3 linked regions of the Drosophila melanogaster genome follow. The protein of the gene in region 1 interacts with the protein of each later gene in a pairwise test. Each region holds a gene or a part of one and is shown in the gene's direction. Other genes may lie near its edges. The genes, in order: vlc, Cpr66Cb and AhcyL1.

The links.
Region 2: the proteins of vlc (region 1) and Cpr66Cb interact in a two-hybrid assay, tested with the Drosophila melanogaster proteins (one large-scale study listed by BioGRID).
Region 3: the proteins of vlc (region 1) and AhcyL1 interact in a two-hybrid assay, tested with the Drosophila melanogaster proteins (one large-scale study listed by BioGRID).

Annotation. Positions count from the first base shown.
Region 1 is NT_033778.4:5,700,448-5,705,968, forward strand, and holds vlc (vulcan), read left to right. Parts: upstream 1-1,664; 5' UTR 1,665-1,740; exon of another isoform or gene 1,741-1,941; intron 1,942-2,227; exon of another isoform or gene 2,228-2,419; 5' UTR 2,420-2,430; coding exon 2,431-2,500; intron 2,501-2,603; coding exon 2,604-3,769; intron 3,770-3,838; coding exon 3,839-3,935; intron 3,936-3,987; coding exon 3,988-4,472; 3' UTR 4,473-4,992; downstream 4,993-5,521.
Region 2 is NT_037436.4:8,334,988-8,339,224, forward strand, and holds Cpr66Cb (cuticular protein 66Cb), read left to right. Parts: upstream 1-1,684; 5' UTR 1,685-1,749; coding exon 1,750-1,761; intron 1,762-2,601; coding exon 2,602-2,841; intron 2,842-2,924; coding exon 2,925-3,161; 3' UTR 3,162-3,608; downstream 3,609-4,237. Other genes in the region: Pex2 (peroxin 2), read left to right, coding at 4,168-4,203.
Region 3 is NT_037436.4:2,767,909-2,774,272, reverse strand, and holds AhcyL1 (adenosylhomocysteinase like 1), read left to right. Parts: upstream 1-1,947; 5' UTR 1,948-2,483; coding exon 2,484-3,005; intron 3,006-3,781; coding exon 3,782-4,231; intron 4,232-4,295; coding exon 4,296-4,889; 3' UTR 4,890-5,807; downstream 5,808-6,364. Other genes in the region: CG12093 (uncharacterized protein), read left to right, coding at 371-874, 969-1,168, 1,227-1,665; Non2 (putative nucleolar protein 2), read right to left, coding at 6,271-6,364. UniProt on the Drosophila melanogaster protein: Might play a role in the regulation of methionine metabolism possibly by binding and inactivating Ahcy.

The DNA of each region.
Region 1 (5,521 bases):
AAGGTTTTCTTACTAGTTGGTGAATTTCTCGAAAACGAGTAGAGATTAGTTATTATTTATAGGGCAAAAGGGTATACTAGATTCGTGGGAAAGTATATAACAGGCAGAAGATAGCGTTTCCGACCCTATAATGTATAATGTAATGTAATATATATATATTCTTGATCAGGTTCAATAGCCGAATCGAACTAGCCATGCCTATATGAACGCCTCGACCCAGAGCCGGTTTGTTGACCCATTTTGACACGCTTGCTCTAACGCATACAAATGTCTGGATATTTTTGTATTAGTCTTGAAAGTTTGTATCGATTTGCAAAAAATATACTTTTTGCCACGCCCATCGAACGCCAAAAACGGCCACGCCAATACTATTGAAAAATGTTTTATATTTTGTTCATAATTTTTCTTAGTTTTGTAAATATCTATCGATTTGCCAAGAAACTTTTTTTATAATTTTTAAAATTTTTATTAGTCATGTAATTTTTGTTCGATATGCCAAAAAATATTTGGTAGCCCACAAATCGCACAAAAGTGTCACGCCCAAAATTTTAAATTTTATAAGTCTTGTAAATTTCTCTCGATTTGCAAAAAACACTTTCTGCCACTCCCACATTCTTGATAATTGTTTGGATATTTCTTCATACTTTTATTAGTCCTGCTTAGTCTATCGATTTGCTTAAATACTGTTTGCCACGCAAACTCTAACGCCGCAAAACCGCCCAAAACTGCGACGACCACATTTTTGAAAAACTTTTGGATATTTTTTCGTAACTATTAGTCATGTAACTTTTTATCGATTTCCCAAAAACTTTTTGGCACGTCCACTCTAACGCCCATAGCCTCCCAAAACTGCCACGCCCACAAAAAAAGTTTAGATTTTTCTTCGTTTTATTTTTTGTTTTTTCATTTTTTATTTATATACCAAAAAACTGGCCACGCCATCTTTTCGCCTACGAAACGCGCAAAACGGTCACGCCCACACTTTTAAACAATTTTAAAATCAGGTATAAGCAGGTATAAATACTTATCAAATATAAAAGAGTTCTTTATTTAATTTAAAGGATGGCCAAAAGAGTTGATTTTAAATAATGTTATTTAATATATTTACGCAAATGGTCAAAGAGAACTAGTAATTCGGAAGAACCGCAATTAAGACTGTGAAAAAGATTGCAGCGCTATCGTCTGGAAAACAGCTAAATCAGTTGTTTACTGTTGAATGTAAATAACAATTTCTGCCTTCTCGTGGCTTCAAAAAAATAAATTGCAAATTTAAATCCTTTTTTTTAACGAAATCCAAAAATTTTGCCTAAATCGAATTCGAAAAAAATATTACGTATGCCGAATGCATGTCCGATATTTGTCACATCATGATCACGAACAACAAATTTACATTTTCTTCATCTTATTTTTTCCATGGATATAATATCGGACCGGCTCGGTTTGGCTTACATGAAAGCTTGATGCAAATTGCTTTAAAATTGCGATTAATAAGCATTGAAACGAACTGACGGACTGTCTTGTCAAAGCATATAGATAGTTTTCAAGCACCCCTGTGTTACATTTTCACAGTTTCACTTTTAACAGAATCTTATCGCCGTTACCTTAACACTTGTCCTAAAAATACCATGCACTATTTAATCTTAAAATGCGAAGCGGTCGGCGAAATGGCGTTTTTAATGTCCAGGTCATGGCAACACAACCGCTGTTCACCGATCAGTTTTTATTGGTTTTCAGGAATAAGTAAATTGGATTATTGAAGGCTTCACTTGGCACGTATTAGCTTGGATTTCTATACGCTCAAGCTGCGCAGTCTTCACGTTGTGTTATGAGACCAAAATAGATCGAAGTGCGTGTGTGTGTTATTACCCAAAGGAGTTGTGTTCTTTAAACTTCGAACGCCACCGACATCATCATGTTTTTCATCTCACCGAATTATAAATAGTTGTGTGTCGTTTGTTGGTGCCATAATGAATTCTACACGGGGCCATGGGAGGGAAAAAGTACGGGAACTGGGCGAAGCATCAAAGAAAAGCCAGCAAAGCGGAACTTTCAAAGTGCCGTTAAAGCTGTTCCCATCTGCTAAGCTTACACTTACACATTCACAGGCTTAACTTAGAAGGCGTAGTGCGCTGCTTATATTATTGAATTTGACTGGTGTTTCAAAATATATGGATCTGATTGGAGAGATAGAGGAGATCTGAATCATTATGTTTTGGGTTCCGAATAAGATAAATAAAAATTACCTGTCAGGCTCTTTCGATTCTCTGAATGCTCAATTTCCACATTAAAACCAAGTCAGACGTGGGCGTTATCAGTTTATTCGTGTTTATTCCTTTTGGAGGTCAACCACTAACGGCTAATTACGGTTAAGAATTGTAAATTGCATGAATAACTAAGCCCAATGCTTTTTATACAACAGGCTCAGTTTTCATGGATCGCAGTCTGGACTCTATTGGCAGCTGTTCACTGGATGTAGACGCCGACTCCTCCGATATATCAGGTAAATATTTATATGGATATTTATGTGGATATACATATAACCAACTTCAATCGCCTTGCAACCCATCTGTGGATTACATCGGGTTGATTTCCCCGAATTGCAGATACCAGTGGGAGCCTGAACTTTCCAACGCCGGTCTCAGTAAGGGACATAACACGCGAATTTACTGCCAACCTTCGGGAGCGCTGTGTGCCTAACTTGCCTCCCCAGCCTCAGCACAAAACCCCTGCCTACGTTGAATCCAGGTCGTCAGAGCTGGAGCACATGGTGCTGTCACCTGCAATTGTGGAGTGCGACCAAGAGCCGAGCTCCAATGATTTTGACGAGACTTCTGCAGAAAATTCACAAGAAGCTCCCGAAAAGAAGCCCAGCTATTTAAACCTGGCTTGCTGCGTCAACGGTTATTCCAACCTTACCACCTACGACTCCAAGATTCGGCAGGACATAAACAAGTCACGTGAGGTTTCCCCGATTCGTCCCTCCACCAGCAGTCTACAGTACTGCAAACGCAACCACTTTCTAGCGACACCAACTCTGCACAGCATGCCTTCTCCGGCCACCAAGTGCAAACCCATCGAGCCTAACAACAACAGCAACGACAGTAGCGGGAATTTTAGTTCGGGTTCTGGTCACAGCAATGGAAATGGCAGTTTTATCAAGCAACGGGTGGAGCGACTTTACGGGCCGGGTGCATTAGCCCAGGGTTTCTACAGCCCCAAAAAGCACGGCCAGTCACCATCGAATGCTGCAGGGCGATCGGAAAGGGGGCAGGTGGAGATCGACTCTCTACAAGGCTCCGAACTGGCTCGGAAATTCAAGCAGCTCTCCCCCAGTAAAGACTATGGGGAGTTTCGAAAAAAAATGCAGAAGAAGTGTTCTCAGAGTACAACGGCGAGGATAGACGAGCCGTTGCATTCTCCAGGGCTTAACGGAGATCTTGACCTGCCCGTGTTTAGGCACCTTAGTCAAGAGTTCCGCGCCCAGTTGCCTACTGTGTCACCAAAAAGGGGTGCTCCTCGATCTTGCATGGCTCCTGATGTACTGCTTGTAGATAACGAGTCAAGTCCAGACCATGGTCCCACAGATGAAGTAGACCACGAATCCACAAAAATGGACAAACTAGCCTCAGAGGAATACATCAGCACTTCCAATATTTCTGTTGAAGCTGTTGTTAAGGATGGAAATTTCTTTCTGAAAATACTAAAAGAGGAACAAAGCCGTCTCTTGGTGCTAGCCGCTCTTGCTGAAAAATATGCAGACGCCTTGTCTGTAAGTGATCTAAATAGTGATTAAAATCTCAATTGTTTTTATTATTATTTTCGACACTGAACTCTACAGACAAATCCAGATATCTCCGAAGATACCTTTGGGCTACTGCGATCAGCGTCGGGTAAGGCCCGTCTCTTGGTATCGCAGAAAATGAAACAATTCGAGGGTACGCGTATTGCAAAGCATTAAATCACTTGTTACTAACATTAATATTTTAGGTCTTTGCCACAATAATCTGAATCGCTCACCAGAGGATAAGTTTCCAACAACTCTGGATGATTTACAAGGATTCTGGGATATGGTTTATTTGCAGGTGGAGCACGTGGATTCTATTTTTGCTGATATAGAGAAACTCAAAAGTAACGACTGGAAGGTAAAAGCACAGTCCGTCGCTGACCAACCCGATTTGCACACCATACCAACTAAGACAATAAAGCCGTCAAAAGTCGGTGTTTCGCAAGTGAAAACAGTCGGAAAGGCATCCAGCGTTCGTGTGAATGGCTCGGCACCTCCCCCACCTAACTCGGCAGCAGCTTTAAAGAGGGAGGCCCAGAGAAAACTGCTTCTAGAGATGAAACGTCAGCGTCGCGAGGCTATGACCGCAGCGGCCAAATTGAATCCCATAAATGTTGATGCCGACCCGGACGTGCCGGGAATAATTGGCGATAGTTGTGCTAATCCTAGCGTTAGCAACGGAAGTTAAATAATGCTCACTGCGAATAGCAACTCATGCTTTCTATTTATACATATATTTTTAACTAACACACGTGTACCCCACAAAGGCATACTTAAATTTATAGATATTTCTAGTTGAATTAATCATTTACTAGTCCCAACTAAAATTATTGTGTTGGAGCTCCTCACTGAAATCTGTCACAAGGCGTCAAATATCTAGGAGATAACGAAGTATTGTCACCAATTGCGACTTACCTAAAGTTGTTCATAAATATTGCCTTATCCGCGAAAGATTTCGCTAATTAATCAATTTGCTGTGCACATTATGTAATTGAAAATTAAAATTACTTGATTACATATAAAAAAGACATTTATTCACGTTTTACATTATTTAAGTATTTTAAAAACCAACAAAATTTTTGTATAACATAATTTGATGTTTTATAATTATTTTTGAGAAATTTAACTTATACAACTCTTGGAATATCATTTCTATTAATAGGCAAAATATTTTTATACAACTGCAAATAAAAATAACTCACACATTTAAATTAAAAAAAAGTTAATGCTATACTTTTCCCTAGCAAATCACTGTGGTCGGCAATCGGCGTAGTGACGAAGCACAGGGGGACGTGTGAAGGCGAAGAACTTAAAATCGCTAACTAACTGAAAGGTAATCCAAAATCTAATAGGATCGCATACCAAACGTTGATAGGAAAAAGAGAGGTGAAAGTATAAATCATTGCTAAATTATTCTGAAGTCGTTGAAAAGTATGCAACAGGCAGACGGAAGCGTTTCCGACCATATAATCAAATATATAAATATATATTTTTGATCAGGATTAATAGCCAAGTCGATCTGGCCAAGTAGAGTGATTGATTTCCTAAAAAATATATATTATAGGGAAAAGTAAACTTTTCCGACCCTAAAAAGTATATATATTCGCTATTAGCATCAATAACCGAGTCGATCTGGCCATTTCCATCCATCTATCCGAACGTACATATGAATGAATGTCAAGATATCGAAAACTATGAGAGCTAATTCAATGGGATTGGACATGAGACTCTGCTTAA
Region 2 (4,237 bases), on another chromosome or scaffold:
GTTGTCGACCATAATATAGCAATTAAAATTGTGCTCGTATTTAAGAGTACATCAACCCGATGACACTCGTTTCGTTTTGACCAGATTGAATCCACGGATCCATGGATCCATGGCTGATCTGCCAAAAAAGAGCTTGTGAATCGGGGCTATGCAAAGTGGTTGGCTGAAAAACTGCACGAAATTCCCATACAAATCCAAGTAATTTCTTGAGTTATTGGCAAACAACTTGCCGATGAACTAGATTACAGAGATGGATGAAATGAGTTGAACGAGTGCATGATGGGCAGGAATTTGGAGTTAAATAGGGGAAAACATGTTGAGGATTTTCCTTAAAGTTGTGGGAAAATAATGAGGACTGGATTGACACAAATTAATGCTTTTTATAACGAAAAGTGTGCATAAGTTTTTTTTTTTCGTTTTGTTAGTGAATATATTTAAGTTACAACAAACTGGAATTATATTGTTGCTGAGAAACAAAACACCTGAATGCATTTGACAAAACGATTGCCTCAACCTTCGAGGTGAGAACCTTAGAGTCACTAAATTCCACGCTTCGCTGCCTAATTAGCGCCAACCAATTGCAAATTGACGAAAGACCCAAAAAATAGCTAGCATTGGTTAATTTTTCTTTAACGCAATTGTGGCACTTAACTTTGAATTAAAGTACGTGGCAGCCAAAGTGTGTGTGTGAGGCCCACAAGCACACACACACACACAAAAGAGCTGCGAACAAAACTTCTGTTTTGTGTGAAACAATTAAATATTACAAAATTGGCTTTTATTGGTACAGCCTGGAGACCCAATTCAAATCTAATGCTATTTACCAGTTACGAATTTACGAAAATCAGCGCATTAAAAGTGAACGATTAACCGGAGGCTAGCCGCAATAGAAGGTTGCCCCAAAAATGTTGCCCAGCAGCAGCCACGAAAATCATCAAGCCGAAATTTGGGTCAAACTGCGTTTAATGAGCCCACTTGCACGGCAACAATGCAGACCTGCAATGCAAATAGGCTGCCAAGCCGAGTTGGCCAAAGCGAAAATACCAAAATATTAACAAACTTGGGCTCGCTGGGGTGGGAGAGATGGATTGGGGGGATGGGGTTTTGTTGCAATGTTGCAACTGCCGATCAGCCACATTGATGACGACTTATCAACGCCATCGCATGCGTCACTAATGGCACACAAAGAGTCCTGGACGACAAGCACTTATCGAAAATGTTGCAATATAATGTTGCTAGATATAAAATAATCTATAAAAATAAGAGGAAAATATTTAAAAATGTAATATTTGTCATAAATGTAGAGAACTTTATTACCTTTGTATGGCATATTGTCTTCCATTGTGGGCAATTATAAAATTTTAGAACCACATTTTCTTGTTTCTATTCTCATGTAATCATTGTTGATTTTCGATATTTTTCCTGAGTTGTGCCGACTTTTTATTCTAAGTGCATTGGGGCTGCAAACATCAAACCCCAAACAATGGCAAACAACAACCACAAGTGAACTGTTTTACATTCGGTTCAAGAGACGCTCCGCTCACCGAAGACAGCAAAGTCGCTGCTGCAAACCACCGCTGCTTGAATCCACCGAGCCACCGAACCACCGCTGCCAGCCGATTCACTTTCTTCCTAACCATATAAAAGCGGCGCATTTTGGTTGCAACCACATTATTCAGTGGTGAAAAGTCGTTGCGTGCAGTCAACCAGTGATCTCCAAATAAATCGCGAGCTAAAACTCAAACTAAAATGGCATTCAAGGTGAGCAGCAGCAGCCAAGGATAAAGGATAACGATTGTGAACAACAAACTATACAGCAAAAAAATATCCTAAAGGATACAGCAAAACGATCTGAGGATCGAGTGATATTTAAGAAACCAAGTGATTTGGTGGTGAACGAAGTGGAAAAGGTGTTCCAAATCTCCAGCAATCATTAAAAGGATATTCATATTAAAAATGTGATTTTTAATTTCAATATGCAATGATTTTTAATGGAAACAAATTTTATTAAACATCGGAACAATAGGATACTGTACTATTTACTATACTAAAGAAAAATTATAAATGTAGAGAATGACAGACTAGGAGCTCAAAGAAAGGCGCTTTTAGTAAAATATTCGTCAGGACCACTAAATTTCAGTTTAAAAATCATCCTGACAAAATTTCACTAAATCAATTTAGCTATTTTGTGCTAATTAAAAAACCAATTTAAAGACAACCTCAAAAACCACAGTTCAAACAAAAGCACCTATTAAAGTAAATCGTTTTAGGATTTAGGAAAAAACTCACACTTTTGCTTTAGTTAAATAAACCTCCCGCTTAGTTAACCAACAAATTTGCAGTCAGCCAGTAAACCACAAAGTAACCACTAAAAGTATATCCAAACAAAAGCGTCAGTCGACCACAGCAAACACTTGATTATGAATTCATTAAGACCAGCAAGAGGAAAAAGTCCGAAATTGCAAAGCAGCCATAACATGGATAGCTACTGTCTGTGGCCAGCAAGTCCTCCAACGCTAATTGCAGCACTTGCAACTACACACACTCCGTCAACGGAAACAATTAGTTGCTAATTATGCACCCACCTATCTGATCTTGCAGTATCTGATCTTCGCCTCGGCTCTGTGCCTGAGCCTCGCCTATCCGTTGGAGCACCAGTACTACGAGGAGAGCCATGGATATGAGCACCTGGCCCATCACGAACCGGAGCCCATCCATGAGTATGGCCACCATCAAATCGAACGCATCTCACTGGGCGAGGAGCACGGTCACCTCGAACACGCTGAGCCCCACTACGAGACCCACGAGTCTCACGGACATGATGAACATGTGGATTACTATGTGAGTATTGTTTCTGAAATTCAAAATTACACTATAAACTATAATCAAAGAGATGATGATGATGAAATGTTGTTTCTTAACAGGCTCCTCCCAAATATGCTTTCAAGTACGGCGTGAATGACTTCCACACCGGAGATGTGAAGTCGCAGCACGAGACCCGCGATGGTGACACCGTCAAGGGACAGTACTCCCTGGTGGAGCCCGATGGTTCCATCCGCACCGTGGACTACACCGCCGACAAGCACAATGGATTCAACGCCGTGGTCCACAAGACCGCTCCAGTGCATCATCATGAGGAGCTGCACGAACACCACTACTAAGCTAGTACACACTGCGCACTAGAGTTAGCCAAATTGCTCATCAGCCGGAAGTGGGAGGAGGATTATGAGGACTAGGAGGAGGGACAAGCATATCCACATCGGTCGACCATGGAATCAGCTTCATATCTCGTAATTAGGACATCAGCACACACCCAGGCCAAGGATCACATCCTGTCCATGGCCATTTCATTAACATTTTGTATATTGTATTTTATTCTGTGATAGCGAATAACTTCTATGTGTATCTTCCGCTTTCAACTGATCCTTAGTCACTACCTGCTCAGACGAATTTACCGATCACTACTCGACTGTTTGCCTTAATCTTTAATCTATAATCTATAATCTGTAAACTGTAATGTATACTTATGTCTTCTCGTAAAACAGAGATCGAACGAAGAAATTGTAAATTGTGTAATAAAGTGTGAATTATGTACTTTTTATAAAATCAAAACTCACCCGACCACTGGCCATAATTTTTTCAGCCGGGGCCAATCATTGAACTTGCACTCCTCAAACAAATGACCAAATGTCTCAGCTGACCAACTGGTTTATGCGTTTCCAGACGTAAACGGCAATGGGCAAGATTTCCACAAATTACCAGACATCGTTAGACACATTTTCCGGATCCCAAACGAGTTCTTCAGTTCATTGTGGTTTCTTGTATTTGTTTTCATTGAAATTGCATAAGCCTTAATTGAAATGTTGACGGAAAATGCTTCCTAAATGGTTAAAAGACTTGGAGTTTCTTCGAAATGTCGATGTAATTGATATATAAGCTGATTTCAATTAGCAATAAATAAAAAATCAAACCGCATTGCTAGTATGGCTAGTTTAAATTTGGCGGGGTTTGTCGATATAGTTTACCAGCACTGTTTAAAAATGTCGATAATGACTAGTAAACTTTCTTTACAATTGCCATCTCTAATTGATAAGAAAGGGCAGAGTACATATAAATAAGAAATATATCAATGGTCAGCTAACCAAAGGCAAGAATATAAACAAAATAATGGAGAAAAACAAATATGTACCACGTGTAAATCAGGTGAGCTAATTATGGTGAGCTATTCATGAATTAA
Region 3 (6,364 bases), on another chromosome or scaffold:
TTTGAAAATAAAATGATTTATTATTATGAGCCGATTTCTGGTGAGTAATTTGTCATTTAACCTTAGAATCCAGTCTGAATATTTCAAATATACATTGATTTCCTTTTAAATCTGCTTGATTTAAGTAGTCATTTTAAATTAACTTTATTTACTTTAATTTGGCGTAAATAATTTTAATTTAGTTATTAAAACAACACATAATTATCATCGGAGATTTATGCAAACTCCAAACAACCTGTTGCTACCCTGCAACAAAGTCATGCTTTGACCAGTGTTGAAAAACGCAGCTCCACAGCTGTTTTGCCAAGTTCTTAATTATATTTTTGTTTGCTTATTTTGCGCTTTTGTTTTTCTTTTGCTTGCAATTATTATGTTTATTTGGCATTACTTGACCCTCTTGTGCCTTGGGTTCGCCCTCATCGATGCGAAATCCATCAAGAAGTCGCAGGCCAATCTGTTGGAGCCAACTCTTGATCCTGATGAGAAGCTAGGGAAGATTGGGAAGTCCCCACCCGACATTTCCAATGATGTGCAACGTGTGCAGGTTCCATTAGGTGCGACGCCCGGCAAGAATGGCTGGCAGGGCAAGTGGTTTCCCCATGCCCCTGGACAACAGCAGGAAGCGATTGAATTAAAAATGAAGAGCACCACGGAGGAAGTTCCTCCGCTGGAGTTCACAACCAAGGATGGCTGGCAGGGCAAGTGGTTTCCACAAGCTCCCGGAGAGCCGCACTTGGTGAAGAAAAAACCGCTGGTCGATAACAAAACCAAGTCGGGGAAGTCCACCACACAGGATACTTGGCAGGGTAAATTGTTTCCGCAGGGTCCCAATGAATCGCACAAGACTAAACAAAGCAGCTGTGATGATGGCAAGGTGAGTTTGGCAATATAACTAATACTTCCCCTAAATACCGATGAATGCTTAGTATTAGTCATCTTTTTCTATCATTGTTATTAACAATTTTCAGAGCAATCTTGCCGTGGACTTCGATCCAAACGACATCCGTGACAGCCTGAATTTCCTATGCATCAGTAGTAATCACAGCTTGTACCAACCGGATTTGTCCAGAGAAGCCATTCTTACGGAGCACTTTCTACCTAGCGCCTATCTGCCGCCTGCCAAGTGCCTTAATGAGTCCATTAGCTACTCCCATCTGCCTGCCACCAAGTAAGGCGAACAATATTATAGTTTCCTGCTAATTTCAAATTCAAATCTGTATTATCAGTGGCCCCTATCGCCCGATGCCCGCTGAATATGGCACCTATTCCTACTTGCCTCCTCAGCGATACGTGCGTAATCTGGCGGAAGGTGCCATCGTAATGCTCTACCATCCCTGCGCTTTTCCCGGCCAAGTGAAGCAGCTGCAAGACATCGTGGGTGGCTGTCTGTATCGCCATCTGGTGTCACCCTCGCTGGCTCTGAGTCCGCAGCGACCGCTGGCCCTGCTCGCCTGGAGTCGCAGCCTCGAGATGTCCGTCGTGGATCGACAACTGGCGGCGGACTTCATCCAGAAACACGCCAAGCAAGGACCACTTGCACCGGAGGAATTGTCGCGTTTGATTGTCAAGAGACAGACCTACAAGGAGGGCCTTCTTAGGGAAGCGCACTTGGTCAACACGGCGGACGACTACGAGCTGTGCGGCTACCTACAGGAGGATATGTAGGCCAAATGTGTTAACTATTTGTTTTTAATAAACCTCGAATACTTTGCCAATTTCTTTTTGACTCATTAAATTATCCAGCTACCAGATTTAAAAGACTTGCAGCTGAGGAGTTGTAAATCACACTTTATTTACTTTGCTCATTAAAAAATAAACACATAATTAATGGTAAGAAATTATAAAAATTAATTTTTAGACGATTTCAGTTAAAAAGTCGTTACTTTGGCCTTTCTTCAGTGGGAACTTACCACACTTGCAGAATAGCACTAACGCCTTCTGCTTTTGGTATTTTCGCGTGTCTCGCTTACTGTCCTCGGTTCGGTTTAGTTCTCTTTTCTCCGGATAAAATCAAATTCAATAAGCGATCGCCAAACGATCCCCCACTTGGTCGCCACACAAACAACGTCGCCCGAAAGCCGACGGCTGCATCATCATCCCCTCTCCGGAAACTCCCATCAAGCCCCGGATCCAAAGTGTAGCCCCCCATTCGCAAAAGAAGAAGAAGAACAAAAACAATAGTGGAGAGGTGAAACAAAGGAGACTCGCACTAAAAACAATTAATTTAGCAATTTGTGGTCTCCACAACGTCGATAAATCACGTGATTGTGCAGTTCGTATAGACCCAGGCCACACCACTAGCCATTTGCAGCGCATCCTGCTTGGATTTCAGACTTTACATAACATCCAAGGCGCCCATTCAAAGGAGCAGCGGAAAAGGATTGCAAGCTCTGGAGTCGCAGAAGGTGGAACACTAGGAGCTAGAGCAAGGAGCCAATTTAAGGGATAGTAAGGAAATCCCCAGATTACCCTCTACTTCCACCATGAACAACCTGGCAGACACTGTGGTAGTTGATCCTGGATTCGGAGGCGGCGACAAGCAGCAGCAGGCTGGACCGGCGCCGCAGGATGCCAGCGTGGTGGTTCCTCCGCCGGCCACCAAGCAGTCCTCGGCTCTGAAGAAGACAAGTCGGTACAGGAGCCGCTCGCTTAGTGCCTCCTCAACGGATTCCTTCAGCTCCGCCAGCTACACGGGCAGCAGCGAGGATGGCGACGACGTGCCGCCCAGGGAGAAGGTCCAAAAGAACTCCAAAGGCAGCTCCGATTTCTGTGTAAGGAACATAGGCGCCCAGCATGCATTTGGGCGCAGGGAGATCGAGATTGCGGAGCAGGAGATGCCGGGCATCATAGCGCTGAAGAAGCGGGCGGCCGAGGACAAGCCTCTGAAGGATGCCAAGATCGTGGGTTGCACACACATCAACGCCCAGACTGCCGTGCTCATCGAGACGCTGGTGGAACTGGGCGCCAGCGTGCGCTGGGCCGCCTGCAACATCTACTCCACGCAGGTGAGATGTCGTATGAAAATGTCATAGGGTTCTTACGTATTCATAGGCTGCTTAATGCATTTAATGGAATCTCTTAAGAGATATCTTAACTCATTTTCCTATATTTATTTAAATTCATATGCATATGCGTGCTCGGTCACTTGATCTGCTCGGTCGCTTGGAGACAATTGTTGTCACGCCAGGCGACGCAAACAAATGATCAATCAAGCCATGTTAATCAATTAAGCGCCCGCGGCTCAAGTGTTTGGCAATCGCTGAGTAATTGATGTGCCCTGAATTGGGTCGCCATACCATTGGGAGTGGAAGTTACGGACGCAGTTTTAGTTCCAGCATTGGATCGGCTGCGGTTACTCGATCTGTTTGCCTATTCCTGCGGCGTGGCTGATGCAATTATCACGAGTCTGCTGACGCTAAACAATTTATGGCTTCTCTAATGAAGCGATGCGAGTGCGAGGGCGAGCGCCCTTCCCCGATCATTTATGCACCCATCCGTGCCAGCTTTTATCGCCCACGGCCCCCGACAGCCTGTCACGCTGATTCACCTGTATCGGCTGGGACTTATCAGCCAAGCTACGAGTGCCGTGCTTAGCGAGAATGGAGCCCGATGCGTTATCAGCTCGATATAAGTCAGATATTAGCAAATGTTTACGCCGCATTAGGGTGACTCGATTTATCAGGCCAACTCTCGAGGGTTTTACCTGTTTGACAATCATTTTATTAGCCTTCAAGGACTGTCATTATTAAAACAACTCAATATCGTTGCTTATTATTTTTAGAACGAAGTGGCTGCTGCTTTGGCCGAATCCGGAATCCCGATCTTTGCCTGGCGCGGCGAGACGGAAGAGGACTTCTGGTGGTGCATAGATCGCTGCGTTAACGCCGAGAACTGGCAGCCAAACATGATCCTGGACGATGGCGGCGATGCCACGCACTTGATGCTAAAAAAGTACCCGACCATGTTCAAGTTGGTCAAGGGAATCGTCGAGGAGAGCGTCACCGGAGTGCACCGTCTCTATCAGCTCTCTAAGGCCGGCAAGCTGACAGTGCCGGCGATGAATGTCAACGATTCGGTGACAAAGACCAAATTTGACAACCTCTACAGCTGCAAGGAATCCATCCTGGACAGCCTCAAGCGCTCCACGGACGTGATGTTCGGTGGCAAGCAGGTCGTGGTCTGTGGCTACGGCGATGTGGGCAAGGGATGTGCTCAGGCTCTAAAGGGGCAGGTAAATGGCACCCACAACCATTAGTATGATATACCTTTGTCACCTTTTCAATCTCCAATCGTAGGGCTGCATTGTGTACATCACAGAGATCGATCCCATTTGCGCCCTGCAGGCCAGTATGGATGGCTTCCGTGTGGTCAAGCTGAACGAGGTGATCCGCAACGTAGACATTGTGGTGACGGCGACCGGCAACAAGAACGTGGTGGTGCGCGAGCACATGGACAAGATGAAGAGTGGCTGCATCGTATGCAACATGGGCCACTCGAACACGGAAATCGATGTGAATGGCCTGCGCACACCGGACTTGACCTGGGAGAAGGTGCGCTCCCAGGTGGATCACATTATCTGGCCGGAGGGCAAGTACATCATTCTTCTGGCCGAGGGCAGGCTGGTCAATCTGAGCTGCTCCAGCATCCCCTCGTTCGCCGTGTCTATCACCTCGGCCACCCAGGCCCTGGCCCTGATCGAGCTTTTCAATGCCCCGCCCGGACGCTACAAGTCGGATGTCTACTTGCTGCCCAAGAAGATGGACGAGTATGTTGCCAGCCTGCACCTGCCCACCTTCGATGCCCATTTGACGGAGCTGAGCGACGAGCAGGCCAAGTACATGGGACTGAACAAGGCCGGTCCTTTCAAGCCCAACTACTACCGCTACTAGGACGCAAGGCGGGCGGATGCGGACAATAACACCAGCAATTAGAAGAAACAACAACGCCAACGAAAGTATTGTCTTTGCGAAGAAGTAAAACTATTTAAAACAATTGTTGACACACACACACACGGAAAACACAAAAGGATACGGAAAGGAGAACACAAAGTTACTATTACCATTGTATTGCTTAGTTTAGCTCGAGCGGAATTCTTGGTTGCTTTTCGTTAGCATTTAAAGTCTTCGACATAGTATTTAGCACTCGCTTTAGCCGCAGGAGTATTCTCTCCGTTCACCTATCCAACATGACTCTCTAATCCCCAAAACTAATCTTGCCCCAAGAATTTATCCCCATCAACATTTTTTGTAGCCAGTTACTTGAATTTATTTTAAATACTTCGAACGCCTGTCAATCAGACTGCAGTAGCTCAAAAGACGCGATTAGTTCTCTAAATGTATACTTCTAATTCGGAATTGATAATATATTTAATGGGAATTGACTTGTATAATGGTTTCTAGCATATTTGCATTACATTTCTATAACTTTTTCGCGTGAAATCCATGTACATTTTAATGTTAACGACTTTCCTGACTAATCCCTTTTTTGAGCTACGACAGCTGGGCAATAAGTGATCGATTTAACCTCTCGTATTGTTTACGTACTTAATTTGTTAATGTTTATGGCCCCCGCTTATGATTATGATTATACTTTTGTACTTTCGTTTCGTCCCGAGAGCGTTAATGGAACAGCAGTGCAAGGTATTCCATTTATTCAATTATATACACGCTGGCATATATATCAGATCGAGAATTATATATATATATACACTGCATATACACCTAATATGTATATTAGAAAAAGTGAAAAATGTTTGTAAGAAATTTGTGAGAAACGCAAAACAATAAAAAAGGGATTCTTTATTGAGCAATTAGATCTGTTCCACTGATTGATTTCTCCCCCAGCAGCCCCGTCGAAATGAAAACCAGGAAAAGTTGCTTTCGTATTTTTCAGATGCATCACTCGTCTATTTCTCTTTTTATTACTCGGTACTTGCCTTAAACTTGTTATGTTTTTCTTTGATATTTTATAAAATGTAAACTACACGAGTTTGTCATAAAAAAAATCATACACATTATGTATTATAATCGATTTTTTTTTTGTAATTTTCCGTTCATCTGAACTATTCCTAAAATGCCGTAAAGTGCATAATGTGCAAACCCGTCCTAATTAGGGTAATGCTAAACACATGCGTCAACTAAATCTTAATCAAAGGTTGTGGAACAAACAAATCCAGGCGGAGCCGAAAGTTACAGGGGATTGGTAAACCAGGCTGGCGGAGAGGCATACACATATATTTGCATCTGGAGAGGATCGGAGGGCGGATCTGATCTAATCGAGAAAGTGCGGCTTGAGATGCTTCAGCATGCCAAAGGTGCGGAAGCGGCGGATCTTCATCACCTTCATCAGCTCGTCGTCGCAAATG